Linked DNA regions of Alligator mississippiensis. The protein of the gene in region 3 binds, or shares a complex with, the protein of the main gene of each other region. Links are inferred from orthologs where the notes say so. Each region holds a gene or a part of one and is shown on either strand. Other genes may lie near its edges.

Region 1 (7,971 bases), on a different chromosome or scaffold from region 3:
CAGTCTGCTTGCAAAGCTAGTTTTTAGTTGTTTTCATTTGTGTAGCTCTATAAATAATAACAAGCTGTGCCCCTCCACCACCTACCAACAATAACAAAACCACATACAAGTGGCAAACTATGTAGAGAGCAGCCAGCCCTGGGGGAGGAGGTGCCTCCAGCCAGGAGCCCTGGGGTTGGGCTCCGACCCGCCCCTGAGTGGCTGTGCAGACCAAGACTAAATTCCCTGTGTTAATGTGGAGTAACATGTCTACAAATGTGTTAATCTGCATTAACTAATCCTGCTTAAATTTGATACTTGGTTTGGGCAGGTATCAAATTTAGGCTCACATAGCATTAAAGGCACACACATGTAGACATGCACCCCTAATGCAGCTTAAATTGGCCTAATCTGCATTAAATGACCATATGTAGACATGCCCAATAATATCTAACATACAACCTTAAATTTCACTCAGGGCACATTTACACATGCATTTGATCTGGGCTCAGTTTAGTCAGGAGTAAATGTCTTCACATGAAATGCTCTGGGGCAGGACTAGGCAGCAGGTTTGCTGCTTTTAGGACCAAATTTGATGCAGCCCTGCAATAAGCCATTGCCGTCACCAGGAGAGCTCTCAGCTCTCCCTGGGTGCTGGTGCAAGGACTGCAAGGGAGCACCCAGCCAGGAGAGGGAGCACCCAGGACTGCGAGGGAGCACCCAGCCTTGGCCTGGATTGGGATGTTACACCCTCCATTACACCCTGCCCCTGGAGGGGGCTGCAGACTTCTGGAGTAGGAACAATATCCCCCTGCCTCACCAGCAGGCAGCTCCTGGCCCTGGCTCCCTGATCAGGGGCAGGGGACTTGGAAAGAGCTGCAGGGGAGGGTTAGGTCCCAGCCCCCTGCCTTGATCCACCAGTGGGGCAGCTAGCAGCTAGCTTGCTACTAGCTGCCCCAAGATGGGGGCAGGGGGCTGGGACCTAACCCATCCCTGCAACAAATTCCAAGCCCTGTGCACCCAGTTGGGGCATGGGGCTGGGACCTGCCCCTGACCAGGACAGTTCCCAGCTCCTGCTCTGCACACTGGGCAGAGGCTGGGGAGTTTGTTCACTGCCCAGCTGTGTGAGTATGGAGCTGGGGACCAGGCTGGGGGGCTTGTTCCATGCCTAGCTCCGTGAGCGTGGAGCAGGGCAGCAAACAGCCTTCCCAGCCCCCACCAGCAGGGAGCTCCCAGCACCAGCTCTGCATTGGAGATCTCCCAACACCAGCCCCATGGTTGCGTAGTTGGCACTGGGAGATAAAGTTCTTCTAGGCCCCTGCTTCCTGATCACCACCTTGGAGCAGGAGGGCTTGGAGCACCCTGCTGCCAGGTAATGAGGGCATAGCATAGTCCCCTCCCAGGCTCCTATGGCAGAGCCTGCCCCAGCAGTAGGCAGCATCTGGGGTCAGGGAGCAATCTGCCACCCCCTGGTGGACAGCTGGCTGGGAGTACATTTGCTCCCAGTCAGGTGTCTACATGAATGCTACTATGCTGTTACTAATCTTGAGTAAATTTGTGACTTGCATTTGCAGGTAGCAAATTTACTCCGTATTAGGGAGGTTTACTACATAGTAAACATGCACATGCTTGCTTACTTCACAGTAAATTATGCTACTGCACAGTTAAGCATCTCGTGTAGACACACCCTCAATGATCATTTTCTGAGTCTTATTGACTTCTGTATATCATTTTTTAGATTAAATCAATAATAGAGGTATGTGAATACAATTCCACACACTAGTAAAAAAATGTATTACGTTAAAATATTATATATTGCTGAATCATAACACTGGAATAAATTATATACAGATTAAGTGAGATGTTTCATTGATCCCCTGAAAAACTATATTTTAGTTTCAAGTGCATTCTTCATTATTTTTTTTCAGGTAAAGCTGAATGAAATTTGAAAATAAAAACAATGTTTTGAATTTAAAAATACAATAGTAAATATTTTTTTTAATTCTGAGAAGCGAACATGAATTTGTAACTTGTTTCAATGTCATTGAATCATCATTTTTTACTGGACAAAGAAAAGTCTGCTCCCACATGAGAGTCTGACATTGACAGGGTTTGGGTCTGTTCTCATGGTCCTAGTTCAGTAGCTTATGACAGTTTATTCAAAACCATGACATCATTGACCATATCCCTGCACTCACAGGTTAAACCATACCAATAAGATGGAGTCAGAAAACCAAACTTCTGTGACTGAGTTTATCATCCTGGGCCTCTCCAGCCATCGGGGCACTCAGCTCTGGCTTTTTGCACTCCTTTTAGGTATGTATGTCATCACTCTTGTGGGAAACATTGTTATCATTGTTACCATCCGGATAGACCCATGTCTTGATACTCCCATGTACTTCTTCCTTGGAAACCTGTCCTTCTTGGATATCTGCTACACATCCAGTGTGGTCCCCCAGATGCTGGTCCACTTCCTGGCCCAGCACAAAGCCATCTCTTTCAGCAGGTGCACAGCCCAACTCTATGTCTCCCTGTCACTAGGGAGCATTGAGTTTATCCTCCTGGCTGTTATGGCATATGATCGCTATGTGGCCATTTGCAACCCCCTCCATTACACTGTCACCATGAGCAGGAGGGTTTGTATCCAGCTGGCAGTGGCTTCATGGGCCAGTGGCTTTCTCAACTCCTTGGTGCAAACCACCTTTACCATGCGGCTGCCCTTCTGTGGCTTCAATATCATCAACCACTTTGCCTGTGAAGCTGTGGCACTCATCAAGATAGCCTGCTCTAACACCTATGTTAACGAGATCATTCTCATGATGGCCAGTGTCCTGATCCTCATCATCCCCTGCTCCTTCATCATCCTGTCCTACATCTACATCATTTCATCCATCCTGCGTATTTGCTCCTCAGAGGGCAGGTACAAGACCTTCTCCACTTGTACCTCCCACATCACTGTTGTGATGCTGTGCTATGGGACAGCCATCTTTGCCTACATGAGGCCCCGGGCCAGTGTGTCACCCAATCAAGACAAGATGTTTTCATTATTCTATGCTGTGGTCACTCCCATGCTGAATCCTGTCATATACAGCCTAAGGAATAAGGAAGTGAAGGAGGCCCTAGCCAAAGCCATGGGAAGTGGGCTGTCTTCTGAAAAAAGATAGATATTTCTGTCTCCTTCTAGATATTTTTCCTCTATAGTCATCAAGGAAGACAAAGGGAAGATGACATTCATGGAATATGACACTGGAGAATGATTATCATTAATAAATAGGCCCATTTACACACAGATGCAATTGTGGAACTGTCTGTCCAGAACTAAACTGAGTGTCCATAGAATTGAAAGGAAAAGTGTAAAATATCATTATATTGCAATTAAGTGTTGCTTCTCTACAAGCTCTTTTTGTAAACTCTGAGAAACACACCAGAATATATATTATCCTTTTACAAAACCCTCCTCACCTGTCTTGGTCTCCTTTTATTTACTGCAGGTAATTATATGGCTTTTCATATTTTCTAACAGATCTGGTCACCCATTTCCTCAGTTGCGTGCTCTAACCCAGGGATTGTCAACTGGGGGTATGCGTACCCCTGGGGGTACTTAGACCGGTCCTAGGGGGTATGCATGGGTGGCTGGGGACGGAGCACCGCCGCCTCCCAGGAGTGAGGACAGTGATGTCCCTCTGTGGGGTGGGGAAGCTCGCATGTGTTGGCCACCACTGCTACACACCAGCCTGGTGAGCTTCCCCACACTGCAGAGGGGCACCACCGCCCTCACCCCAGCCTAATGAGCTTCCCCGCCCTGCCCTGGCCCTGCTCCTGGGGGGTGGTGGTGGTACTCTGTCCCTGCCCGCCTACACAGTGTCCCCACCTCCATGCTCCGTGTCCAGCTGCGTACTCCCCCTCTACCCTCTGGTGTTCGGCCGTGCGCTGCCCCCCTCCTGTCCCCCTACTTGGCATCCGGCCACCGTGGGTACTTAGACTAAAAAAGGTTGAAAACCCCTTCCCTGATGAATGCCAGCTGCAGGGAGCACGGCTGGGAGCTAGGTGCCAACTCAGTGCTGCATGGGTGAATCCCCTGTCCCCCGGGCTCTGCACTGAGGCGGGTGCTCCCTTTGCATCCCCTGCACCCTGCCCTGGCACTGGGTGCAGATGACGCAGAATCTGGGTTTATGCATTTTTCCCAGCTCCACAGCCGCTGCTCCCTTTTGTGTCACCAGCAAAGGGCCAGGGGCTGGAGGAGGAGACAGCGGACAACAGAGAGAACAGGACAAGGGGCTTTCAGGAGCAGGGTCTGTTGGATGAAAGGGAGATGGATGGCATGCAGAGACAACTGTGGGTGCAGGGCCTGGAGGCGGTAGTGGTGGGAGGGGGGCCGGATGCAAAGCCAGCTTGGCTCCATATCGCCCAGGGCGGTCACCAAGATTTGCCCCCCCTAGGGAAGGCCCTGATGGCATAAGAACAGTGCGGAGGCCCCTGGGACCCCAGGCAATGTGTGGGGAGAGAAAAGGGAAGAGAGGGGAGGACGGAAGGAGAATATGGCCTGAGCAGGGCCTAGAGCATGTCTGAGTCTAGTTTCCTACTTGGGTGAAACAGCATCGACACACCTACAGGGTCTCTCTGCCCTCGTGGCCCGAAGATCCCCAGCAAGGGCGCGTGCACAGAAGTGACACGAGGGGCGAATGAAAAAGGCGTCATGCTCCACGTGGAGAGGCAGCAAGAATCACAGCGGGGTGCGGGGCTACATGTCCCAGGCAGCTGTGGGGAGCGGGGCAGGGGCATGGTGGCCACAGCAGGGGCAAGGGCAGGAGGTCGGGGCACGCGGAGGCTGGATCCACAGATCTCAGAGCCGGGTTCCCGAGGTGTCCTCGGGAGGCGGGAGGAAGAGGCCGCGGCAACCCAGCAGGAGGCGCGGGGCGGGGGCGGGGCTGTTCGGACACCCACTACCCCGCGCGCCGGGTCCTGCGCGTGCGCCGTTGCGCAGCGCCGCGGTTGCCTGGCAACGGGCGCGCAGGGCGGCGGCCATGAGCCGGGCCGAGGCATCGGCCGAGGCTGAGCCGCAGCAGGTCGCGAAGCCGTCGAGGCGCGCCCCGTCCGTGGGTGCCGGGGATGCCGAGGAGCGGGTCGCGGCACGGCGCCTCCGCATCGCGGCCCGGCAGGAGGCCAAGCGCCGGTGCGGGCGGGGGGCACCATCCGGGGAACGAGCCCCGCCCCCCCCGCCGAGACCTGGCCCCTCCCGCCGCAGCACCCGCCAGTGCCATGGGCGGGGGGCTGATGCCAGGGCTCCCCGACTGCGCTGCCCCCTCCCCCCCTCTACTGCCTTGGGCCCCCAAGACCCAGTGCCAGAAGGCAAAGGGGCCCCAGTCCATGCTGGATGGCAGTGGTCCAGGCTGGGCGGGCCTTGGCCCAGGGGTGGGAGTGTTGTGAGAGTGCTGACAGTCTTTCAGATCAGCAGTCCTGAAAACAGGCAGCGCGGGTGTCCCAGCAGACCGGCCTGCACAAGACCAACCTTCTTTCCTGCATGGGGTCGAAGGAGCAGGTGTCGCTGCGGACAAGCTGGGGAGCCGTCCGCAGAACAATCCACGCGGGCTGCCTTGGTTGGAGACTCCAACCAGACACGAGTGTATTCTGTAACCCCCCCCCCCCCAAGACCCCCTTTGGGTTGGTCTCCCACCCACATACTGAGATGTTTCAATCTTGTGGATTCATGGGCTTACAGGAGGCAAGGTGACTCAATAAGAGATCTGGCAGGGACAAGGAGATGATGTGTTATTAAAGCTTATGTCTCTACCCCCCACCAGGGAGGCCCTGGGAGAAGACCCAGATGCAAAGAAGGCTGAAGAAGAGGAGCAGAGCAGGAGCCATAAGCAGATTGAAGAGAGCAGACAGGTTAGGAGTAGGCTTTGCGGCCAGGGAAATGGGGTTGACAAGTCCATTAAGGACCATTGCTCCATGTACATGTGGCTTTGCAGTCCTGTTAACATAGCCTGACAGCTCAGGGTCAGCCAGTGGATATGTTCTGAAGGAGCACGGTTGCACACAGGTACTTGCTATGACCACCAGAGACTGATTCTTGAAATACTTTATAGGGAATTTCATTGTAACAAGCTTCTGTGCTACAGAAGATATCCGTGGGCCAGACCAAGCCTCTTTGCAGTCTGGATCTTCCCTGAAGGCTATAGATTGCTGACTTCTGTTCTAAAACATCTGATATTTTCTAACCTACTTGACTTCCTGAACTTCCTTGACTTCCTCCTGTTTCCAGCTGTGCAAACAGGGAGCCAACATGCAATATCTTGAGCTTTCAAGTACAGATCAGACCACGCTGTGTCCTGACCTCACAGCAAAGGAATGGTGAAGCTAGAGCCTGCAAGAGAGAGCTGAGAGTGGAGCTGTACTGCAAGAGCTGCATGTGGTTTGGGTGTGTTCAGTCTTTTCCTGAAAATAAACCAGTGTGATGCCATGATGATAAACTATGGTTGGGTGTGTGAATCCCTGCCAGGTGACATCCCAGATTCATACTTTTATTTAAGCACCTCAATATAAGCATAGGAACCAGCCTGTAGGGCAGGCAGATGTGGAAGTGCTGGCCATGGAGCCTTCCAAAGCATGTAATTCAGTCCATTTGGCCTCATGGTTGTTACGTCCCTTTCCTGTCCTTGCAGAGGCTGGCAAAGCTGCTCCTTGATGGCATGCAGCTAGTAACGAACATCCAGGTGGCTGCCGATGCCAGGGAGACACAGAGGAGGACTGAGGAGGCTGAGCTGAAGCGGCAGAGGTGAGAGTTTGTGTAGGTATGACAGGTGTTGGCTTTGGCATTCCCTGACACGGACATCTCAGAGCAAGGCAACCCGGTCTCTGATCAGTGGGAACTATGTTGGAGACTCCCAGGCATTGGAAAAATGCCCTTAATTGACCTAAAAGTAGAATGACCCCGGTTTGCCTGGGACAGTCCCAGATTTTGGAGGCTGGTCCTGGCCGGCTGGTGAAAATTAAAATGAGCATCCCTAGTGTGGGGCATGGGGGGAAAAGCTGCAGGAGCTGTGAAATAGGAAGCCTTAGTAGATAGCAAAATTGCCATAGAATAGGTTATTCTGATTAGTGGAATGACCATCAATGCTGACCTTGTGAAGGAACAGCTTGAGAGGCTGGATACCTTCAGGTCAGCCGGCCCTGACAATTTACACCCCAGAGTACTCAAGGAGCTGGCTAGCATCATAGCTCAGCCTCTGGCACAGATCTTCAAGAGCTTCTGGCGCGCTGGTGAAGTGCCCGATGATTGGAAGGAAGCCAGTGTAGTGCCTATCTTCAAAAAAGTGAGGAAAATGGATCCGGCAAACTACAAGGCCCATCAGCCTGACCTCTATCCTGGGGAAGGTCTTAGAAAAAATCATCAAGGAGGCCATTTTTAATGGACTGGCCGATGGCAACACCCTGAGGGACAGCCAGCACGGGTTTGTTGCGGGTAGGTCGTGCTTGACCAGTATCATTTCCTTTTATGACCAGGTGACCTATCACCTGGACAAGGGGGACGAGATTGATGTCATATATCTCGACTTTAAAAAAGCCTTTGATCTGGTATCCCATGATCACCTTTTGGCAAAACTGGCCAACTGCAGCCTCGGGTCTACCATGATCCGCTGGCTAGGGAATTGACTCTATGGTCAGACCCAGAGGGTGGTGGTTGATGGAAGTCAATCGTCATGGTACCCTGTGACCGGTGGGGTCCCTCAAGGCTCTGTCCTTGGACCTATTTTGTTCAACCTCTTCATTAATGATGTGGACATTGGAGTCAGAAGCGGACTGGCCAAGTTCGCCAATGATACCAAACTTTGGGGTAAAGCATGCACACCTGAGGACGGGGGTAATCCAGGCTGACCTTGACAGGCTCAGTAAATGAGTGGACGAGAACCTGATGGTGTTTAACACTGAAAAATGCAAGGTTCTCCACCTTGGGAGGAAAAACCTGCAGCATGTCTATAGGCTCGGCAG
Region 2 (7,938 bases), on a different chromosome or scaffold from region 3:
CCCCACCCTCCAGCTGCTCCTGGCAGGGAGGCAGCACCAAGCAGGTCTCAGCCCTACAGCTGGGAGGGAGGGGAGGGAGGGGAAGGGCCTGCAGCCAGCCAGGGGCTGTGCGCCGAGTGTGAGGGGCACGGGCTGTGCCCGCCTGACCTTTCACTTGTCTCTCGAAGTCACAGCGCAGGCGTGTGATCTCTTCCTCCTGCTTCTGCCGGGGGCAGGTGGCACGTCAGATCAGGCCCCTGGGCACAGAGGGAGCTTGGCTGCCCCAGGCAGCCCCCACACCCTCCTCCCCTGGAGGCACCATTTGCGGGTGCCTGGGATACATGGCACCCAGTGCCTGCCCAATGCCCCCTGTCCCCCACGCCCGATGCTCCCTCCTTAGATGCTGCACAGCCCTATTGCTTTCCACCAGGGACTGGAGGTCTCCAGCTCTCGCCTGGCATGGCCTCAACAGTTCAGCCTCAGTGCACCTGCATCCCAGAGCAGCCCTGGGACTGCGAGCATGGGACCTGCCAGGCCCTGGTCGTGCCAGCTGCCTCTACACCCCTCAGCATCAGTGGCAAGGGCTGGATTCCCCATGCTGCATGAGCTGGCACAGGGGGCTGCTGATGCATCAGCCTGTTCCTGGAACCTGACTCTGCAGTGGTAAACCCACCGCATCTGCCCCAGAATGAAGAAGGGGCCAGTTTTGGGCCCCCCACTACAGAAAGGATGTGGACAAATTGGAGAGGGTTCAGTGGAGGGCAATGAAAATAGCTGTGGGGCTGGGGGACAGGACTGGTGAGGAGAGGCTGAGGGAACTGGGCTGATTTAGTCTGGAGAAGAGAAGACGGAGGGAAGACTTCATAGCAGCCTTCACCTCCCTGCAGGGGGGCTGCAAAGAGGACAGAGCTGGGCTGGTCTCAGTGGGGGCAGATACAGGACAAGGAGCAATGGGCTCCAGCTGCAGCAAGGGAAGTTGAGGTTGGATATTAAGGGAAACTCTCACTAGGAGGGTAGTAAAACACTGGAACGGGGTACCCAGAGAGGTGATGGACTCTCCATCCTTGGAGGTTTATAAGAGCTGGGTAGACAAAGCCTTGGCTGGGCTAATCGTTGGTATCCTGGTATCCACCCCACACCGTGCAGCCCAGAGCTCGGCCTCTCCCCACCCCGCTAGGCACCACATACCATGCGCAGGCCTTTCACCACCACCTCGTTGGCCAGCTCCTGCTCCTTCAGCTCCACCTTCAGGGAGCGCATGTCCCGGCGCAGCTCCAGCTCCTGGGCCCGGTGGTCCTTCTGCGCCAGCTTCATGGACACAGTGCCCTCGGTCCGCAGCTCCGTCAGGTTGTTCTGGTGCTCGTACAGCAGGTGCTTCACCTTCTGCTTGTACACCTGGGGGCGGCGGGTGGGTCAGTCCCCGGACAGGCTGGGAGCAGGGGGCACCTGGGGACATGCCCAAGTCAAGCGGGCGCTGCAGCCCTAACACCCACCCCAGGTCCCACTCACCTTGATCTCCACCTGGTGCCGCTCCTCGGCCTCCTCCATCTCGCGGTCCTTGTTGCGCAGCTCGGCCTTCTTCTCATCCAGCTGCCGCCGCGTGATGTCCCAGAAGGTGTGGATCTTGTCGCGCTCCAGCTGGAAGTAGTTGCGCTCCTCGCGCTCGCGGTCCAGCTCCTCCCGCAGCCGCACAATGTGCTCCTCCAGCTGCGGGGCCCAGGCAGGAAGAGGCATCAGGGGGGGCAGCGGTATCCAGGCTCGTCAGCACCCTTTGCTGCCGGCTGGCCCGGGGCACGCGGGGAGGGAGCTCACCTGCTCCTTGCTCATGTCCTCGGGCGCCATGCCGTCCACCACGGCCGCCGCCTTCCCCCCCTTGCCCTTCTTGCCGCCTTTCTTTTTGGGCGCCTGGGAACAACGCGCAGGGCTGAGCCGCGTGCACGGGGGAGGCAGCAGCGCTCAAGTCTCTGCGAGTCGGTAGATGGGGGGTGGGTCCTGACTGCAGATGTCGGCGGGTGTCTCCCTGCCGGGGGTCCTTTGCTGGGCAGAGCTGAGGGGCCCCGACTGCCTCTCCCCGCCCTGCGCGGTCCCAGGGGCCAGCGGGTATTAGGGTTAGGGTTGGGGGGGATGTTGCTGCAGCTGCAGCCCCGTTGTATTGGAGCTGTGCCCAGCACACAGCCCTGGGGACAGGGACGAGCCTGACCCAGCACCCAGGGGCCCCCCAGCTTGCACTCGGGAGGCCCCGCAGAAACCCCCCACCCCCAGCTTGCACCCAGCCCCGTTGCACCCAGGAGACCCCCCAGCTTGCACCTGGGAGGCCCCGCAGAAACCCCCCACCCCCAGCTTGCACCCAGGGGCCCCCCAGATTGCACCTAGGAGACCCCCCAGCTTGCACTCGGGAGGCCCCGCAGAAACCCCCCACCCCCAGCTTGCACCCAGCCCTGTTGCACCCAGGAGACCCCCCCAGCTTGCACTCGGGAGGCCCCGCAGAAACTCCCCACCCCCAGCTTGTACCCAGCCCCGTTGCACCCAGGAGACCCCCCAGCTTGCACCTGGGAGGCCCCGCAGAAACCCCCCACCCCCAGCTTGCACCCAGGGGCCCCCCAGATTGCACCCAGGAGACCCCCCAGCTTGCATTCGGGAGGCCCCGCAGAAACCCCCCACCCCCAGCTTGCACCCAGCCCTGTTGCACCCAGGAGACCCCCCTGCTTGCACCTGGAAGCCCCCTCCCCCAGAAGCCCTCCTACCTCCAGCTAGGAGCCCCCCCTCCCCTGCACCCAGGCCCCCTGCAACCAGCCTGCACCCGGGAGCCCCCCCAGAAGCCCCGCAGCCTGCACCCAGGCCCCCCGCTCCCAGCAGGCTCCCCGCAGCCGGGAGCCCCCTACACTCAGCCGCCCCCGGGGCCCCTGCAGCCAGGCTGCCCGCGCCCCGGAGCTGCATGCCCGCCGGCCGGGCCGGGCCGGGCCCTACCATAGCTGCGGCCCCCCCGGTCCCGACAACCGCCGCGGCGGCCTCGCGAGAGAGAGCCGCGGGCCCCTAGCAACCCGCGCGCGGCCCTGGCAACCGCCGCCGGGGCCTGGCAACCGCCCTAGCAACCAGCCGCCCGCGCCCCGCCCCGCCGCCCGAGCCCGGGCAGCGCCCCAGGTCTCGGGGTGCAGGGATGTGGCTGGATGGGGCCCCCTGGCACGGGGCACGGGCCGTAGGGGTGTAAGGGTGCAGGGGTGTGGCTGGATGGGCCCCCCAGCTCAGGACACAGGCCCGAGGGAGCTGGGGGTGCAGGGACGTGGCTGGCTGGGCTCCCCAGCACGGGGCAGAGAGGACGCTGGGCACGGAGCTGGGGGCAGAGGGCAGCCGGGGCAGCCGAGCAGGGAGCAGCAGGAGCCGCCTGGGCCGGATCAGGCTGCCCGTAGCCCCAGGAGCGGAGCGGAGCGGAGCGCAGGCCGGGCTCAGCTTGCAGCCTCTCCCCGGCGCTGCTGAGGCCCTGCCAGAGGCCCGACACTTGCACCGCGATGGCAGTCAGGGCCCTAGGGGCAAGGAGCAGCCTGGAGCTCTGCGGGGTGGGCAAGGGCCCAGTCAGTAACATCCAGGGGCCCTGGAGCCCGTGCTTCGCCTGCGATGCAGGGCCCTAGGCTGCCCTCCTGCCCTGTGCGAGGCGGCCCAGGCTGCCCTGACAGCGTTGCATGGGCTTTGGGACGCTGCCCCAGGGCTGGCGGGGCGGCTGGACTCCCGCAGCCTGCTCCGCACCAGGGCAGCGGGCACAAATGCAGACTGGTTGCTAGAGGAGCGCTGGTCTCACGCCCTGCAGGGCCCAGCACCGAGCTCAGGGTAACCACAGCCCACATCTGGGCTGCACACCCGGATGCAGCACGGCAGTGCCCTGATGCCCATGCTGCAGTCAGCAGCAAATGCCCCTTTGCCCGGTGCTGCCCCCGTGTGCCATGCCCCCGGCCCCTGAGAAGGCGCCCCATCTGGGCCCCGAGCCCCGCACAGGCAGGTGCAAGCAGGCTCCCAGGGACTCCTGCCCTGGCATGGCTGGGGAGCAGCCTGGCAGCTGCAGCGCCGAGCTGGGGTCCCCTGGGAGCTGGGCGTTTCCATGGCGCCCTGTTGTCATGGCACCTGCATCTGGAGCACCTGCAGCCTCCATCCTCCAGCACCTTGACCTTGGCCTGGAGACCGCACCCCAAGGGGGGGCTTAACCCCTTCACTGCCTGGTGCCAGCACGGCCGGGCAGAGCCCTTCTCTCCGGGGATCGGGCCTCTGGGGAAGGGAGGGGAGCAGGTGGCCTACCTCCCCCCACCACCCCGCCGAGGACCCCGGGCTCCCGAGGAGGCTGGGGGCGCGGGGCCGGCTTAGGACCACCCGCGCCGGGTCTGGCTGGGCTGCCGGCTTTGTTTGCAGGGAACCCCCAGCCCGCACCGGTGCCCGGGGGTGCATGCATGCGGGGCCGGGGTGTATGCTTGCGGGGCGGGGGGCAGGGTGCATGCATGCGGGGTGGGCGGGGTACATGCATGCGGGGGGGCAGGAGGCATGCATGCGGGGCGGGGGGCGGGCGCCTGTCTCCTCCCCACAGCCCGCCCCGCGCCCCGCCCGCCCGCACCCCCCCCATTGGCGAGGCGGGGCTGGCCGGGCGATGCGGGGCTGCGCGCTCCGGGGCCCCGGCCGGGCGGGGCGGGGCGGGCCGCTGCGGGCTGCTGAGCGCGGAGCGCAGCCCGGTCCCGCACCCGGCCGCATGGAGCCGCGCGGCGGGGCCGCTCCCCCAGGTGAGTGCGGGGCCGCCCCCCAGCAAGGAAAGTTGCGGCGTCCCCGGGCTGCCCGCACCGCACCGCACCGCACCGCACCGCGCCCGGCCCGTGTATGGGGGGCGGCCGGGGGCGGGGTGCGGAGGTGTCCCAGGGGCTGGCTGGGTGTGCGGGGTGTAGAGGGGGATCCGGGGGCAGGGGGCGTGCGGGGGGGTGTGATCAGGGGGCACCCGAGGGGGTGTGGACGTGTGTGTGTGGTCTTCTGCGTGCATGCGTGTGGGGTGTGGACGTGGCGTTGCACTGTCCTGGTGTGTGTGTGTGTGTGTGTGTTGCACAGGGGTGCAGATACGTGTGTGGAGGGGGGTGTTACACAGGGGTGCAGAGGTGTGTGTGAGCAGGGGGTATCCTGGTGGTGGGTGTGTGAGCAGAACACCCTGGGGGGTGTGTGCAGGCAGGCGGGCATGCTGGGGGGAGGGTGTCCCCCCGGGCTGTGGGTTACAAGCTGGGGCAGTGTGGGGCATCATGGTGGGGGTGCCTGTGGGCAGGGCAGGGGTGGGTGCTGTGGGCAGGTGCCCCCCTGCTGTGTGTGTGGGGGGGGGGGGGCGCATCCTGGGCCGGAGGCTGCTTGCACTGGTGCAGGGGCGTGTTGCTGGGTTGGGGCCCCCAGGCGTGCCGTGGTGCCAAGGAGGGGCTGTAGGGGAGTGGGGCCCAGCAGAGCCAGGCAAGGGCGTGGGCAGCGGGGCGGGCGGTCCGGTCCCACCGCAGGTCCCTCCTCTGCCCTCGACTGCAGGTGAACGTGAGTCAGCAAAGAGGAGACAGCAGAGATCCCCGCCCCGCTCCTCCGGCCGGGGCAGGAGAGCAGGGGACACTGTGCCACAAGGGGCTGGGGCACAGCGGGCGGCGGGAAGGGGGCCCCATGGCTGTGGCTCTCACAGCAGCGTTTGCTCCCAGGTCTGCTCCCCAAGTCCGCATCTCCCACCCCTGCCAGGAGCTCTGAGCCAGTGACTGGGGAGGGGGCTGCATCCCAGCCAGCAGGAGCCAGACTTGACCCCCTGCCACCAGTGAGGGGGTCAATCCTCTCCTTGCCCTGCACCCACTGCACTGTGCCTGCCCCAGGCTCCCCCTTGCCTCTAGCGGGATTTCCTGGCCTGCCCATGTGCCCCATCGCCCTCCTGGCACACTCAGGCCGGCAGCTGCTCCTGGGGGACTGCTGTCCTGCCCCGAGAGAACAGGACAGAGCATGCGAGCAGATGGTCAGGGAAGGCCTGAAAGGTTGCCTTGGTGGGCATGAGCCTGACCCAGCCCAGCCCGTCTCACCCAGGGGTGCCAGGGGCTGTGGCAGAGCAGGAGGGATCGGGCGGCCCCCGCGGGAGAGGTGGGGAGCTTGCTGCCCGGACAGTTTTTCTCCGGCTCAGGTGTTTGAGTTAAAGAAACATGAGGAGTCCAGTGTTGGCGCCGGCCTGGCCCCGACCCCAAGCTCCCAGGCGCCGGCAGCCAGAACTGGATCAGGATTTCCCATGAATAAAACCGTGAACGCTGAAAGATGCCTTAGGGAGCTGTAACAACCCAGCCTTACAGCCCTTGTCCGTGCCCAGGATGCTGGACCCTTGAGACCCCGACGGTGCCAGTGCTGGAGAGGCCCAGGCTGGCACCTGGCGGGACTGGCTCCCCTGCATGCCCCTGGAGAGCCAAGGGCCGCGGCCCGCGGGCCAGGCCACGCTGCCAGGGAGCACCCAACCGCCCCCGGTGTTGGGTCTGCGCTGCCGCCGGCGGCTGCGCGTGGAGCTGCCCGCAACGGCAGCCGGGCTGTGAATTATTCATCGTCTGGGCTGCTAAAAATATTCCGCTCCCCTCCCCCTCCCGAGCCACGCCGGCTGTGCACAACTGCACACACCCCTTTGCGGCCACACGGCGAGACCCCCTGCCCCATGCAGCCGTGTGCGGGGCTGGGAGTGGGGGGCAGCATCAACGCCGTAGCCGGCTTGGCCCCAGCGCCCCCCGATCTCCCATGCTCGTAGACAAGCCGCCCCTTGTCCCCGGCCTCCCAGCACAGGCTCCGCTTTTGTCTGCGGGGACAAAGGCCCAGCAGCGGGGATGGCTGGCGGCTGGCACGGTGGCCTCAGGGTCCCCACCATGAGCACTGGGCCCTGGTACCCGTCTGCATCCCCCCACCGGCCTGTCTGCCACACCTGGGCCTGCCCCAGGGGTCCCTCGGTGACACTGCTGCTCTCAGCCTGGGGGCTCGCTCCCCCGCCTGCTACAGAGCCCCACCAGTCCCAGCCCCCGGTGCAGACAGACGGTCCCTGCCTGCCTCGGCCCCACTGCCGGCAGCTGTGACCAGGACCCTCGCCCTGGAGCATCCCTGGCTTTCACGGAGGGCGCTGCGGGTGACAAGGGGCCAGGGTAGAAGCTGTCATGGGGAGGGGGCAGCTGCTCCAAGCGCTGGGGCTGGAGCGGAGCAGGGGCAGCTGCTGGGAGCTCCCCCAGGCCCCCTGCCCAGAGCTCAGGGCTCTTCTCAGCAGGGCTGGGTCAGCCCTGGGCAGAGGAGCCAGGGGGAGTCCGGCTCTGCTGCTACCAGGGCTTGACGGACAAGGAGGTCCTGCCACGTAGCCCCCCGGACGCAGCCTCAGCTTTAACGCAGCAGGGCTTGCTCTTGCAGAACTTGTTAGGGAGGCTCCAGCCCCAGAGCGAGTGGCCGCCGTCCCCATCCCGGTGCCTGTGCCAGCCCCTGGGCCAGGCGAGGAACTCCCGGCCGAGGAGCAGGGTGGCATCCCCATCCCCAGCTCGGGCCTGCTGCAGGTGGCTGAGAGGAGACGTGAGTATGAGACGCCCCGGTCAGGCCCCTCCCCGCCCAAAAGGAAGAGGGGCTCCTGCATGCCCTGGTGCCGGCCCCCAGCTGTGGGAGCCTGGGTGGGGGGTGCTGGGGGTCACGCTGGCCCTGTATCTGAGCCGGGCACCCTTCGCAGAGCCGCTGAGCAGCGTGTCCTCGCTGGAGGTGCACTTCGACCTGCTGGACCTGACCGAGCTGACGGACATGTCAGACCAGGAGCTCGCTGAGGTCTTTGCCGACTCCGACGACGAGAACGTCGCCGAGTCCCCTGGTGGTGAGCGTGCCTGGGCTGGGAGTGGGGCTGACCGCACATGTGTACACACACACACACACACACGAGTGCACGTCCACTCATACAGACAAGACTCTTACATGCACCCGCTCAGACATCCA
Region 3 (7,446 bases):
AAGTCCCCCCCCCCCTTTTATGTTTTTAAACACAAATACATAATAGGGGCCGAGCAGGACCCAAGACAAGGCCCCTTGAGCACATGAAATGGTTAGAAAGGAATCTAGTCACTTTCAAAAAAAGTATATTCAAACCCATTGCCAAGGGTCTTAAAAAACCAGTGGGTTACAGGACAGATGTACAGCAGTACGTATAGAGAGGCAAACAGCTCTTTGCTCGGAGACAGACAAATCGAAGTGACTCCGGATTCAGTCGCTGCGCTGGAGCCTGCGCTCCGGGATCGTCCCGGCAGAGAAGAGGCGCGGAGCTTCCATGCACCAAACGCCGCGTGCCCGGAACCGGAGCTGGGCTGCGGGAAAAGCCTGGAGCCGGAGCGGCGCCCGCCTGCCCGCCCGCCCCTGCCACCCCCCCGGCCCGGGCCGGGCCTCACCCGAGCGCCGCTCGCACGCACCGCCCCGGCCGGAGGTGCCCCTGGGGGCCGCGGCCGCCCCGCCGCTCCTGGCTAGCCGGGCCAGGCCATAGCAGGCGCCGGCTCCGAGCACCAGCGCCGCCAGCCCCGCGCGCCAGCCCAGCGCGCCGCTCTCCCCCATGCGCGGCCGCGGGAGCCGATCGGCCCCGGCCCGGCCCGACCCCGGGACACGTGCGGCGCCGCCGGAAACCGAGCCCGGGCGCCGCCTCCCCGGCCCGCGCGGGAGGGCTTTGCTATTCCGGGGCCTGTGAGCGGCACCAAGGGGCTGTGTTCAAGCAGCCGCTGCCGTGTTAGAGATCCCGTGCGCGGGGCAGCCCCCCGGCCGGCCGCCCTGGGCTCTGAAGTGCTGCAAAGAGCAACCGGGGTCTCCACCAGAGGCAGCTGAACGCCAGCACCGCCCCCGCCGAACGGGGACTCCGTGAAGCCCCCCTGTGCTCCCAGCAAGCTGCGGTGGTCTCAAGTTGCAGCAAGGGAAGCTGGAGCTAGATATTAGGAGAAACTTTCTCACTAGGAGGATAGTAAAACACTGGGACAGGTTATCCAGGCAAGTTGGCCACTCCCCCTCCTTGGAGGTTTTTAAGACCAGGGTGAACAAAGCCTTGGCTGGGATGGTGTAGTTGGGGCTGGTCCTGCTTGGAGCAGGGGTCGGACTAGATGTGACCCCCTGAGGTCTCTTCCTACCCTCATTTTCTATGATTCTGTGACACAAAATAATGGCTATTTTGATAAAAAAAAGATTTTGTGAAAGTAATCAGCTCCTGTCATTCCTTATGCCAGTTCCCTGCCCCTGTTTATCCCTGACATCTGTCAGCAGAGGGAGGTCCTTGCCTGTGCTTACCTTGAATGCACCGGGCTGCAGCCCCTCCACCACCTCCTCACGGCACTCCTCCTGAGGCTTTACCTGCACATCTCTCTGCACCTTTCACGCGCTCCCTGCCTGGGGCCTTCTGGTCAATCTTCTGGCTCCTTCCTGGGCTGGTAGATGGCCAAACTTGCCATCTACCAGCCCAGGAGGAGATTCTGGCCAGGAGGAATCCAAGCACTGGAGCCATTTTCCTGTCACTCTGCACATCTCTGGGCAGAGTTTCACTGACTGGCATCCACAGTCTCCTTGGAATCGTTCAAGGGGCAATGGGCACTGGCAGGAGTTCTTTGCTTGGTGTCTCCACTCAATTCCCTTCATATGAAACTGACCATCCCAGTCACACCCATTCTAATTTTTGTTGTTCCAAGTACTCAATTGTTATGTATCTAGTGGCCTCCCCAACTGAGGGATGCTCATAGCTCTTTTAGCTGGCCTAGGTGCACTGTTCTCTATGTACATAAAAATAGGCCGCTACCTCTGCTTAGCACAAATGCTTCACTATTTTCTGCAGACAAGCTTCTTTGGGCAAAGGTGATATCTTTTATTAGACCAACTAAATCATTGGAAAAATTGTTCTTTACAAGCTTTCGGGCCCAAACCCTCTTCTTTAGGCATAGGGAGAGTCTGCTGTTTGTGTGCTCTCCAGGGTGGAATAGAAGCTTGAGCCAATATGCAGGACTATGAAAATGCAAATCTGTGGTAGCAAAGATCAAAGGGGATGCCAGTTCATAGGTGCAAGACAGGTGGGGAGGGGGAGGGGTGTGTGGAAAGGAGGAATGTTAACTTGGGGACAGAATGTAGCTGATAAAAATGTAGAGAGGTTACCTGGAGTTATCAGATGGCAGGCAGGTTATATATATATGACTTAGTCCATGATTTTTTGTATCCAGTAGATTTATGAAGTGAAGTTCCTAGGCTCATCTATGAAAGGTGTTCTACAAATTCCCTTTGAGGATTAGAACTGAGAAATTGGAGAAAAAGTGGTTGTCTTTTGAGAAAAGTGACCCCACAGGTAACTGGGTATTTCTGTCTTTGATAGATTTTCGGTGTGCGTTGATTCTGGTACACAGTTGTTGTTTGGTCTCTCCTACGTATTTTCATCAGGGCAGTCAGTGCATTGGATGAGATGTTTTATGTTTCTGGAGGTGCAGGGGTAAGATCCAGGAATGGTGATGGTTCTGTTGTGGGGTGTAGTTATTGTGGGAGGGCTGGAGATGCATTGGCAGGTTTTACATTTCTTGTCTAGGCATGGTCTGGATCCATTTGGTGTGCTTTGGGCCATAGACGTTTGCTTCAGGTGATGAGGTTGGTGAGGTTCGATGTCTGTTTAAAGGCTAGGATGGGTGGTTCTGGAAATATCTTTTTAAGAGTTGGGTCTTCTTCTGGTATGGGTTGCAATTGTTAGAGGATTTTCCATATCCCCATCCATGGAAGGATGGTATGCAGGGGCAACATGTAGGGGGTGCATGCGGGTGCATGTGCACCCCCTGTGCATGGTGGTGCACCCCCAGGTGATCCATGATCACCCCTGGCCACTGCCAACACTGCCGGCGGTGCCTGTGGGTGGTCATCAACCCATGGCTGGCACTCGCCACCCCCTTCCCCCCGACAGTGCTGGTGGCATCAGTGGGAGCTCCCTGCTCACCGCCGCCACACTCCCACATCTGCCAGCGCAGCTGTACCCCTTCAGCCACCAGGGGCACACACTGTTCATGTTGGTATGTCATAACTAACGGTGTGTGGCTATATGCAACTATAACCAACACCCCTGAAACATGGAAAATATCACTATTTTTTTACACAAAACCCATGACATCCAACAGCTAACAGGGAGCAAGAAGAGGGAGGAGGTAAACACACTGTTTATTTTACGGATTTCCTCCCCTTCCTCCTGTATTTAATTGTTGTACCCTTACATAAATACCTAGCAAAACAGTGGGCAAGAAAGATGCAAGAGAAGAGAGTTTTAATAAGTGAAGTGGCTAGATGCATGCTTTTAAAGGAATCTAGTTCTTTTGGAAAATATGTATATAAACACACAGTCAAGGGACTTTAAAAAATCTCTTAAGGACACATTTACAATATGCTAAAGATACAGATCGTAAATCTTTCTCTTGACTTATAATCACAGTGACGTGTTAAAGTACTCTGATTTTTTTTCAGGTGGGTTTTACTGATGACATTTTTAAAAGTGTTGGAGAAAGTGGCACGATCTACATCTGTGAACTCTTCATGTGCAGTCCAACCATCTCCTCATTAGGTTGTAAACACTGTGGGACCATCTTTTTGTGTTGCATTTGTACAGTGCCCAGCATAGTCAGGTTCTGGTCAGTCAGCAGGACTCCTAGATGCAAAAATAGATAAATTAAAAAAAATTACAATGAAATCAATATTATATTAATTTCTCAAAGTAGGGCTTATTAATAACAACATCTACTTCCATACGGTAACAGGGCAGGCAACGGTTTGTCACAAGCATATTGCAATCAGATCAAAAACATTCCACGAGCAGTTGCTTGTTTGTTTGTTTTGTGCTTGTCCATTTTGTGAAAAATAAGGAAAATAAATAATTTAAAAAAGTATATAGCATATGAACAAATCAGATCCTACCCCTTTGCATTATGGATGGTGCTTAGCAAGTATTAGTGAATCCTCCCTGTATCCCTATTAGCTTGACAGTCCGTCTCCATTTTACAGATGGGAAAACAGAGACATTAGACTTTATGGCCAGATCCTGAGGAGGTCAACAAATACATCCTCCCGTGAGCAAAGGTCGCCCAAGGTCACAGGAGTCCAGGACGGAGCCCAGAGGAGGCTCCCGCTTTCTTTCCTTCTCAGCGTTTGTGAAAGGCTGCAGCACCCACGTCTCCGGGCACCCAGGCCCCGCCCGCTCCTGCACGTCATCCCTTCTGCCCAGGGGCCACCAGAGATGGGCGGTTTGCCACGCGACTCCGCTGTGCCCGCGGGGCAATCGCCGCCGGCTCCCCTCGCTCAGGGGACGCAGGCGGCGAAGGGAGGGAGCGGCGCGCGCACAGCCCCGGGGGGCGGGGCCCGAGGGACAGGGCGGGGCGGGCGGGGGCTGCAGCGTGCGGCGGGGCGCGTTGCCGGGCAACGGGCGGCCGCGGTGAGGGCCCGGCCCGGCCCGACCCGGCCATGTCGTCCCTGCGCGGCGCCGACCCCGCGCTCCGCGGGTACTTCCAGCGCCACGGGCTGCCCGACGTCTACGAGGTACGGCCCGGCGGGGGTACCCCGCTCCAGGGCGGGGGTGGCCCCGGCCCGGCCCGGCCCGGCCCGGCCCGGCCCCTGTCTCCGCCTCAGCGAGTCCAGGGGCCTCTGCCCGGGCCGGGAGTCCTGCCTTGCTCACACGCAAGCGCTGGCCTGGCCTGGGGCGGCAGAGGCCAACCCCCGAGCATCCCCGCCGGGCCCGGGGTGTCACGCTCACCTGTCTGCGCGGGGGGCGCGAGCAGGAGTCGCCACCTCTCGTACAGTTGCAGCCGCGTATTTAGTAGATGTCCCAGACATTAGGGCCAGAAGGGACTTTGCGACATTGTCGGGCCCAACCCCCCGCCTAAAGGGCGGGAAGTCAGCTGGTGTCACCCCGCTGCCAAATTTTTGGCGAGCGGGATGACAGGATGCTGCCGGCCCGCGCCTCGGACATCCCTGCACTAAGCCCCATTGGTAGTCAAGCTGTGCCCGAGGGTGAGCAGTGCCGGCCCCTATACAACCCTGACTTGAAACTTGCTATAAAACTGCCGTCAACCTGGACACAAGACCTTGCATCCTACCTTGCCTGAAGTAAAGCAGGGGGACCACGGCAGCCAGCATCCTGCTTCTGTCAGGCTGAGTACAGACTTCTGTGGAGGTTAAATCGGGTTCAAAATGGCCACCCGATTTAACCTGGGCTCGTCCCGGTGCCGGCCTGGTGACTGGCAATCAGCGTGAACTGAGACTGCACACAAACCAGTCTAACAACTGCAGAGCCTGGTTTACGATAAGCCTGGATCTACGTAGTATCAAACTTGTTCGATTTAGGTCAAACCAGCGCATGGAACTTGTGTACGCTTTCCCTGCACGGCCCGGGCCTGCGGGCCCCCAGCCCTGGGGCTCCTCTTTTCACACCCCTCCCCCCCTGCACTTGCACTGGGCTATTTTTTGTCCTCCTGGCCCCTTGTTTCCCACCTCACCCACTAGCCATTCCTTTCAACCCCCATCCCACAGCCGCGCCAGGTATAGCTGCTTTTAGCAGTGTTTCCTGCTTTCAGAGCCAAGCAAGTAAGTCTTGGTGTGGGGGGAGGGGATGAAGGGTTGGAGGTGTAGGTTCGCTGGGGGGAATCAGGGGACTAAAAGCCCAATCCCCCTAAATCCCCCTATGAACCCCGCTGGGCAGTAGGGAGGACTGAAATTGGCCGTCAGCGGCGTCTGTGGGCTGTCGCTGCTCACCAACTGCTGCCGGCTTCTGTGGGCAGTTGTTGCTCATCAATCGCTCCCCCTCACCACCACTGCCGCCAGCAGCATCTGCAACTGGTCCCCACTCGATGCTCGCCATCCCCCTTCCGCCGACACTGCCGCTGGCATCTGCGGGCACTCCCTGCTTGCCGCTTGCTGCCGACTACAAATGGTTCCCCCCCAGTTTCAGGAGGCACCAGTCGTTCATGGACCCCACAACCTCCCTGATCTCTCCAGACACTTCCGGACCCTAGCAAAACCCTGTGGCTTGTGCCTGACTGCTCCCTACCCACGAGTCATGCCCTGGCCTCTCACCCCTTGAGGGTTGCACCTGTCCCCTCCACCTCACCTGCAGCTTGTGCCTGCCCCCTCCACCCCTCATGGGTTTCACCTCCCCCCCATTCCCCAGTGGACTCCTGATCCTCCTGAACCCCCGTTGGCCCCCCATCCTGACTTACCCGATATCAGGCAGTCATTTTGAACTGATTTAACTTCCCCGAACGTCTGTACTTAGCCTAAAAGATTGTTACTGGACACTCAAAAGATACCAGGAAGAGGCCCTACCTCCCCTGCCGCCACTAGAGGAAGGTAAAACTTCCCACAGTTGGTACCAAGGTGTCTATGGGTTAAAATTCCTTCCTGACCCCAATTATGGTGATTAACCTGACCCTGAGTACAAAACAGAGAAGATTGCAGCCTCCTTTGTCTTAAATGGTAGAAAAGTTGTTTTTGGAAACTTCAGGTGGAAGACTATAGCGTGCAGGGTAGCAGAGCACTCTCCTCAAGTTGCAGTACTGCATGTTGTAATTGCCATATGGCCAATAATTATATCAAATAATTATAATATCAATAATTATATCAAAGATGACTATGGCAAATTTTAGAATATGCTAGGCCATATGTTGGTCACCCACAGTGTCAAAAGGGGTTTGAAGACTTGTTAAACTGCTGAGCTAGTGAGTAGAATTGCATGCCATAGTGCTAAGGAGCATAGGGGAGACATGGCTTACTTGAAGTCACAAGTGTTCCAGGGATAATAAAATAAATACACACTTTTGGCTTTTGGATTGTTATCTGATCCTCCCATCCTTTCTCTTCTCTCAGCCAGTTTTTTCCTTTTGAAGTTCAGTTGAAACTATGCAGAAGTCGTATATCAGTTTCCTTAATAGTAACAAATTAGGACACTGTGTACAAATAAACTGCCAAAAATAGACCCAACTTGTAGCCAGTTATTGCAGCCTGGATTTCCATGGGAACATTAATAAAGAGGTTTTAAACCAGTAAAAATAACTGTAGAGCAGCACCTCCCTCAACAGTGGTAAAGCATCAGGGGTGCACGTACACCCCCTGGGAGCGCTGGTGCACCCCCTGACTGACTGCGCTCCACACTTAGGCAATGGGCAGGGTGGGCACCGGTGCCCCACCCATGAGCGCTGGCCAGAGAGTGAGCGCACTGGGTGTAGTGCTGCGGTCGCTTCCAGGAGCACCATGGCCGCTTCCCGGTGGATGAGTTCTGCTGCGGGGGGACTGCCCCCACCCCCCAGTCAGCAAGATTGGCCATGCGAGGACCCCTTCCCCCGGTTGCTGACTGGTTGCTGGTGGGGGCACGTGCCCCCCGTGATTAAGGTGACACCAATCTCCCATGTCCCCCAGTCCTCCTAAGCT
Region 4 (7,318 bases), on a different chromosome or scaffold from region 3:
TAAGTAGTGATTGATTATAATAATGAATTACAATAACAGATGGTAGCAATAGGGATAGTAATAGTGATCATGATTGCGATAATAGATAACAATAATATTGGAAATAAGTCAAAATTGATTATAATAATTACAATAATGGATGGCAGCAATAAGGATAGTAACAGTGGTCATGATTACGATAATAGATCATTGATAATAATAATACTGGAAATAAGCTGGACTTTAGTATAATAATTACAATACTTGATGGTAGCAATATGGAAAGCAAGCGATCATGATTATAATAGATAATTGTTAATAATATATTGGAAATAAGTTGTAATTGATTGTAATAATTACAATAATGGATGCTAGCAAAAAGGATAGTAACAGTGATCACAATTATGATCATCACTAATAATAACAATATTGGAAATTAGAGCTGTGTGAAACAGAAGCGTTTCGTTTTGATCAGCGTTTCAACGTTTCGACAGAACAGTGTTTCATTTTGACTTTTGTTTCAAGTTGAAACGGCTGTTCCGTTTCATTCTGTCAAAACGTTTTGCCGTTTCAACCCTGTTTCGATGTTTCACCCATAGGATATAATGGGGAAGGTCGAAACAGACTATAACTTTGTCATTTCTGGCCAGATTTGGATGAAACTTGCAGAAATGGTAGCTGCTTCTGAGGGCATGATGCGTGCCAAGTTTCAAGGAGATAGGTGTAGGGGGTTTGGAGAAACTGCACGCCAAAATCTTGAGAGCAAAACGCACGCCACGTGTATGCGTTAAGACACAGTGGGGTCAAAGCTGCAGGGATGCTAGCCCCTGGTGAGGCAGCAAATCCTGCCATGTTTCAAGAAGATCAGTGCAGGGGTTCAGGGGGAACTGCACCCCAAATTCCTGAAAGCAAAACTCATGTCGTGTATGCGTTGAGCCACAGTGGAGTCAAAACTGCCGGATGGTAGCCCTTGGTGAGGCCACAAAGCCTGCCAAGTTTCAAGGTGATAGGTGCAGGGGTTTGGGGAGGGAACTGCACCTCAAGCTGCGGACAAGCAAAACTCGTGACACAGATGACCCTGTGTGTGTTAAGGTGCAGCGGGCTGAAAACTGCAGGGGTCGTGGCCCCTAGTGAGGCCACGAAGCCTGCCAGCTGTCAAGGAGATCGGTGCAGGGGGAGTCTGGCTTCTGGGGCCCTGCACCTCTGACTGCTGACAGGCAAAACTCATGACATGGGTGACCCTGTGTGTGTTAAGGCGCAGCGGGGTGAAAGCTGCAGGGATGATTCCCCATTATACCCTATGGCTGGATCTCCAAAACGGCTCTGAAGCTTTTCCGAACCGCTTCGGAAAGCCTAACGAAGTCAGCGCTCTGCAGCTTCAGCGTGAACTAAAAGATTCGTGTTCACAGAGGGGGTGGTTCAGGTGATCAGTCTGATCAATGAGCTAGATAAGGAGATAAATCTTATCTTCTTCCTGAAACTGGCTAATGGGCAACCATTACAAACATTCAAACTATTTCATTCAATATGACATCCCCAAGGGTGCCCTGGTGAACAGTTGTTCACCGAGCCCTAGATGTACTCCCCTTTGGGCAGAGCGCCCAAAAGGGACTGAAGGCAGGGGACTTAGTCCTATCAGTATTGAGGCCAGCCCATTGAATCGTACTACTGAGGCGAGCCCATTGAACCGTACGACTGAGGCCAACCCATTAAATTGTACTACTGAGGAATGAAACTGTATTTAGGTGTTTGGCTTCTCGGAATTCTAGGATTGTAAGTATATTTTGAAAATAACAGTATTGATTCAAATTTAACTTTTAGTTGTAATTGTAGTTGTTTTTGTAATACTAATTCTTACAGCATTGTTTGGGAAGGAAGTGCATTCGGAGCATTGTTTCTGATATATGTAATTATTGTGTTCTTAATGTTTGTGGTATTTCTAAGCTAAGCAGTGTTATATGCGTCGCAAAGAATTTTAAAATAAAATTGTGTTGTATGAATTAAGTGTGTAATCATTGTAAAATCGTGCCCCAGCCAGTGCATCAAAACGAATCAGTAAATTGTGTGGGATTTTCTCTATTCCATAACCCACTAGAGACAGGGGAAAACTAGGAGCAATGGTCACAAACTCCTGGGAGATCGATTCAGACTCGTTTCAGGCTCAACATTAGGAAAAACTACCTCACAACTAGGGTGTCCCGACTGCGACCATTACTCCTAGCACGGCACAAGGTTTCCCAGTCAGCAGCTGGGGTGCAGTTCCCCCGCACTGGTCTCCTCGACAGCCAGCAGGCGTCGTGTCCGCAGCAGGGGCCACCCTCCCTGCAGCTGTCGCCTGCCGCGGCTTAACACATACACACGACACAAGCTTGGCTCTCAAGAATTTGGGGTGCCGTTTCTCCGAACCCCCCGCACCGATCTTCTGGAAACGTGGCACGCATCACGCCCTCAGAAGGGACTACCACTTGTGCAAGTTTTATCCCAATCTGGCCAGAAACGACAAAGTTATAGGCTGTTTTGACCTTCCCCATTATCTCCTCTGGGCGAAACGGCATCGAAACGGCAACACGTTTCGTTTCCGTTTCGAGGCTGTTTCGACCATATCTGTTCCGTTTCGATTTTGCTGTTTCGACCTCGAAACAACGCCAGTGGTGAAACCAGTGGAAACGGATGGTACTAAGGACAAGACTGGAGGGCAGCAGCCAGGACCGTGGCGGTAATGGCGATGACGACAGCAACTGCCACTAACTGACAGCGTCCGACCAGATGCTAATCATGAATGGCAGCCGTTAGTGGTTGTCATGGACACCGGCATCACTGTCGCGCTGCGGACGACCGCGGCAGTGACACGGTTGCTGACGACAAGCCCCCCCCCGAGGACCCCCCCGCACAAGGAGGCGGCAATCACCACAGCGACACTCACGCGGCGGCGGCCGGCGGCAGCGGCCCGGTCTCCATGGCGACGCCGACGCTCCGGGGTCCTTCTCAGAGGCTGCCCCGGTGCCGCCTGCTCTGCGCGCGGCCCCGTCAGGCGCGACGCGGACGCCTCAGGGGCCCTGCGCGCGGCTATCCCGGCGTGCCGCGCGCCGCGGCCTCCTCTTTCGCCGCCATCTTGGAGCGGAGCGGCAGGGTGAGGGGAGCGCGGCGGCGCGGCGCGGGCCGCGGGCGCGGAGCGAGGGGTGCCGGGGGGCGGCGGGCGAGCCGGGCGGGCCGCGGGCTGCGGGGGGCCGGGGGCGGGGGCCGCGGGATGGCGCCGATGCGCGGCGGATGGTGCGGAGCCGGCTCCGCGGTGCTCACACCACGTCTCTGGTTGCAGGCCGCCGGGACCAGCGCCGCGCCGCCATGTCCGGGAGGTGAGAGCCCTGCCCGAGCCGCGCGGCCCGGAGCCACTCGCGGGGCCCAGGCGGCTGCACCGCGCCGGTTACCGGGGGGGGAACCAACGGGGTGTTCACTGAAATAAGATATTTTGGTTTAAAATTTAATCACTTTTTTATGGCTAAGATGCTTTCATTTGCTATAAAGATCGTTTTCGTTGAAGATCTGTAAAAGCTCCAAAATATCGTGGAATAGGAATTATTATTATTCATAATTATTGTGATATCTAATTATAAACTCCTAGAGATGATGCGGGCACGTCTAAACTCCCAGTGCAGCTCGGGTGACTTTAATCTGTAGACGAGCCTCGAGATTGGGCCTCAGATACAGTCCGCAGCCTGTCCTGACGCATTTCCTGAGCGTGTAAAGATGTCGCACGAGGACACGGGGTGTTTCTGAGTTTTAATAACTTTTGTCTGTAGAGGAGCCCCATAAAATTGGGCCCCGTTATAGTCCCCGGCCTGTCCTGACGTATTTATCAAACCTGTAAAAAGGTTACACGAGTGTTTCTAAAGTCCGGGTGCGATTTCAATAACTTTCAGCTCTGGGAGCTGCGTAAGAGCAACGTAGGATTCACGGATGCGCTTGTCTTTGTTGAGCTGCGTCCTGTTTCGTTCTGCCCGTTTTTCCAACCTGTCCAGATCCGCCTGGATCTGTTTCTTACCCTCTGGTGCGTTCATTTTGCTTCATAATTTGGCTATGAACTTGGACAGGGTGCTCTCCACGCCCTCGTCCCAGTCACCGATGAAGACGTGAACAGCACCGGTGCAAGGACCAAGCCTTGCAGGACCCCGCTGCCCACATCTTTCCAGGTCGATACCGACCCGTCCACCACCACTGTCTGGGTGCGACCCCATAAGCCAATCTGTCACCCACCTGACCGTGCAATTATCTACATCGCTGCCACTCAGTTTATTTACCAGAACAGAACGAGATACCGTATCAAAGGCCTTCCTAAAGTCTAGGTAGATGACATCTACCTCAGCTCCTGCGTCTATGCATTTTGTGACCTGGTCATAAAAAGAAACCAGGTTAATTGGGCAGTGAACCGGTGCTGGTTTCCTTTCAGCATTATTCCCCTGCTGGGCTCCCACAAATGTGGTCCTTAATGTTATTTTTTCCAGAGTTTTCCCAAGGATGGAGGTGAGACGAACTGGCCTAGTTTCCCTGTTCCTCCTTCCTCCCCTTCTTGAAAATAGGGACCACATTGCCCTTTTCCAGTCCTCTGGGACGTGACCGGAGCACCACAAGTGCTCGAACAGCCGTGCCAGCAGCTCTGCCATGACACAGGCCAATTCCCTCATCACCCTTGAGTGAAAATCATCTGGGCCCATTGATTTGAACACATCCAGCCCCTCTAAGTGCCCCTTCACTAAGTCTGCGCTAACAGTAGGTGGTCTGGCGTCCCTCCTGTGTCTGTCTATGATCCAGTGATTGGGCCCATAGTATAGGCCCCAGCCTGTTGTGATGCATTATAAAGCTTCTGCAAAAGTTACATGAATATACAGGTGTTTATAAAGTTCTTGTGCAACTTTAAACTTGAATAACTTTGTCTGTTATAGCAAACTGTAAATAGCAATTGAAACCATAATTAAGTTTTTAGCGTGGTGTAAGCATGTCGTTTTGGGTTGCTTCTGTCGTGCACATCCAAAGTTATTCATGTTTATAAAGTTACACAAGGACTTTATATAAACACCCTGTGTATTTGTGCAACCTTTTTAGAAGTTTTATAAATAGGTCACAACAAGCCGTGGCCTATATTAGGGGCCCAATCTTATGGGGTTCCAAGAGGTTTCTTTATCTATAGATTAGTAAAGATTAAAGAAAACCACTCTACTCAGTGCGACTCAGCGCTCAGTCCAGAAGATCCCATTAAACGTCTCTGTGATGCTTCATTTCAGTTCTCAGACTGTGAATTTGTCTCTCCAGAGTTCACAGGCAGACACGGTTCTTTGGGAAGATGCAATATCTTTTATTAGGAGTGTACCACTAATGGGAATATTTGGTCAATACCAAAGGCCATATCAGCTGATACCGCTCTGAGTGCTGATATGCAGCCTGGCAGCGTCCAGCTGGTAAGTCTGTTGGTGGAGGGGGTGTAATTCAAAGCCCCCATGGTGAGGGAGGGAATGGGACAGGCATTGCCCAGCCAGGGCAGGACACAGGACAGAGCTGTGGGTGGCCCAGCAGAGGATGGGTGGCTCCCTGCTGCTGGTGTGCACCCTCGGGGGAGGCAGGGTGGGCATGTGCTCCCTGGATTTGTGCACAGAGCAAGGGCGGGCTGCCTGCTTTGGGGCTGGGGCCTGTGTTGGCCTCTTGGTGGGAGTGCTGGGCCAGGGCTGCTCTTGAGGTGGGTAGTGGCAGTTCTGGGAGTGGGGGTCTATGGTGAATTTTTGGGGTGGCCATAGTCGTCGTGTCCCCCGTCCCCCCATGCCCAGGAAGAGGCTGGTACAGCCCCTGAGCCCACAACAGGCAGCTCGCCCTCACCCCGTGCACAAATCCAGTGGGGGCCTCATACCCCGCTTTCCTCCCCCAGGGTGTGTGCAGCAGTGGGGAGCTGCCCATCCTCCCATGCCCCCCTGTAGAGCCACCCACAGCTCTGTCCCATGCTTCAACCCAGCTGGGTATCACCTACCCCAGTCTCTCTCTCACTATGGGGGCCTCAATCTGCCCCCCACACAGACTTACCAGCAGGACATTGCTCTCCAAGCTGCGGGGCTGCATTCCTGGCTGTGTGCATGGTGCAGCTGTGCACATGCATGTGGAATTTATCAATGATGTTATTGGCTACACCAGCCAAAAAAAGCTGATTGCCAATAATGTCAATTTTCCTTTTATCGGTGCTGATCCAATACAGACAGATATATCCGCGCGCCACTACTGATTACTCACCCATCAGCCCTGTTGTCTCTCTGCTAGTTCGGGTATGCACAGTCAAGCCCTTACCTCTCCCTAAAAATGGAAAGTTTCAAGAAGTTAAATGAATAAAGGATATCAAACAACAACAGTGCACTTCTTGTAGAAATCAGTGATTAAACTGAGGCTTCCTGGCCAGTGATTTAAATCATTATTTAAATCCATTTGATTTAAATCAGATCTACCCTGTTAGTTACAGATTTAAATCTTGAACAAACTGTCTTGTGAAAATACTGGTGACATTTTAAATCTGTTGTCCAAAAGGATTTACCTTATAATATTACCCATGCTAAGAAAGCTTTATACAATATTTGTTCCGATACAATTAAGCACAGTTCTAGGACTCTTAGCTATTGGTTTCAAGTGTCCTGAATTATGCTGGAGTCCTGCACTGTCCACATGGAACAGGCTTGCATTTCCCCATAGAAACTGCAAAAAATCATTTCAGTACAGCACTTTTTTGTTACATCTCTTATTACAGAGTTGGTTACTGTAGCAAAGATCCAAAATCAATTAATCTGCATTATCATGTATGCAATGAAGTGATAGAATCTATTTTCTAGACATTTGAAATGTGTGTGTATAAAGAACTTTAAAAAAAAGCAAATTGCTTCTTAACGTTATCATCTTTTTAGTGATAATCATTGGAGGAAAAAAGGAGGTTTCTAATGGAGAGAAGTAGAGCTGTTTATAAATGTCTCCTGTTGTGGAAGCTTCCTTATTCACCCCTAATTGCGAATGCTAGTATATTTACTTCCTTGTGAATAAAGCACTATTTCTTGATCCCAGCATGCATGTAGTCCCTTCAGAAATAGCTTATTCAGAAATCCAGGTTGCTTGCTGTTGGTTTTCAGTTCATTAACATACTTGCTGTTTCTTAGACTGTGGTCCAAGGCCATTTTTGCTGGCTATAAGCGAGGCCTTCGAAACCAGAGGGAGCACACGGCCCTTCTGAAAATTGAAGGCGTTTACGCTCGCCAAGAGACTGAATTCTACTTGGGCAAGAGATGCGCGTATGTGTACAAAGCTAAAAAGTAAGTAAATTAGC

Evidence for each region.
Region 1: FBXL13 (region 3) and DRC1 share a complex: the UniProt entries of both Homo sapiens proteins name them as parts of the nexin-dynein regulatory complex. The link is inferred for Alligator mississippiensis from reciprocal best matches to the Homo sapiens genes FBXL13 and DRC1.
Region 2: FBXL13 (region 3) and GAS8 share a complex: the UniProt entries of both Homo sapiens proteins name them as parts of the nexin-dynein regulatory complex. The link is inferred for Alligator mississippiensis from reciprocal best matches to the Homo sapiens genes FBXL13 and DRC4.
Region 4: FBXL13 (region 3) and IQCG share a complex: the UniProt entries of both Homo sapiens proteins name them as parts of the nexin-dynein regulatory complex. The link is inferred for Alligator mississippiensis from reciprocal best matches to the Homo sapiens genes FBXL13 and DRC9.

What each region holds. Positions count from the first base shown.
Region 1 is NC_081828.1:76,329,186-76,337,156, forward strand, and holds the start of DRC1 (dynein regulatory complex protein 1), read left to right. Parts: upstream 1-4,969; 5' UTR 4,970-5,003; coding exon 5,004-5,152; intron 5,153-5,780; coding exon 5,781-5,868; intron 5,869-6,644; coding exon 6,645-6,757; intron 6,758-7,971. Other genes in the region: olfactory receptor 2F1, read left to right, coding at 2,199-3,143. UniProt on the Homo sapiens protein: Component of the nexin-dynein regulatory complex (N-DRC) a key regulator of ciliary/flagellar motility which maintains the alignment and integrity of the distal axoneme and regulates microtubule sliding in motile axonemes.
Region 2 is NC_081833.1:76,095,959-76,103,896, reverse strand, and holds the start of GAS8 (dynein regulatory complex subunit 4), read right to left. Parts: upstream 3,005-7,938; 5' UTR 2,950-3,004; coding exon 2,947-2,949; intron 1,885-2,946; coding exon 1,792-1,884; intron 1,687-1,791; coding exon 1,489-1,686; intron 1,375-1,488; coding exon 1,168-1,374; intron 203-1,167; coding exon 148-202; intron 1-147. Other genes in the region: DBNDD1 (dysbindin domain-containing protein 1), read left to right, coding at 4,706-4,736, 7,375-7,530, 7,682-7,819. UniProt on the Homo sapiens protein: Component of the nexin-dynein regulatory complex (N-DRC), a key regulator of ciliary/flagellar motility which maintains the alignment and integrity of the distal axoneme and regulates microtubule sliding in motile axonemes.
Region 3 is NC_081827.1:24,344,835-24,352,280, reverse strand, and holds the start of FBXL13 (F-box and leucine-rich repeat protein 13), read left to right. Parts: upstream 1-4,440; 5' UTR 4,441-4,488; coding exon 4,489-4,563; intron 4,564-7,446. Other genes in the region: ARMC10 (armadillo repeat-containing protein 10), read right to left, coding at 432-591. UniProt on the Homo sapiens protein: Substrate-recognition component of the SCF (SKP1-CUL1-F-box protein)-type E3 ubiquitin ligase complex.
Region 4 is NC_081830.1:85,493,323-85,500,640, reverse strand, and holds the start of IQCG (dynein regulatory complex protein 9), read right to left. Parts: upstream 3,005-7,318; 5' UTR 2,938-3,004; coding exon 2,903-2,937; intron 1-2,902. Other genes in the region: RPL35A (large ribosomal subunit protein eL33), read left to right, coding at 3,322-3,332, 7,152-7,304. UniProt on the Homo sapiens protein: Component of the nexin-dynein regulatory complex (N-DRC), a key regulator of ciliary/flagellar motility which maintains the alignment and integrity of the distal axoneme and regulates microtubule sliding in motile axonemes.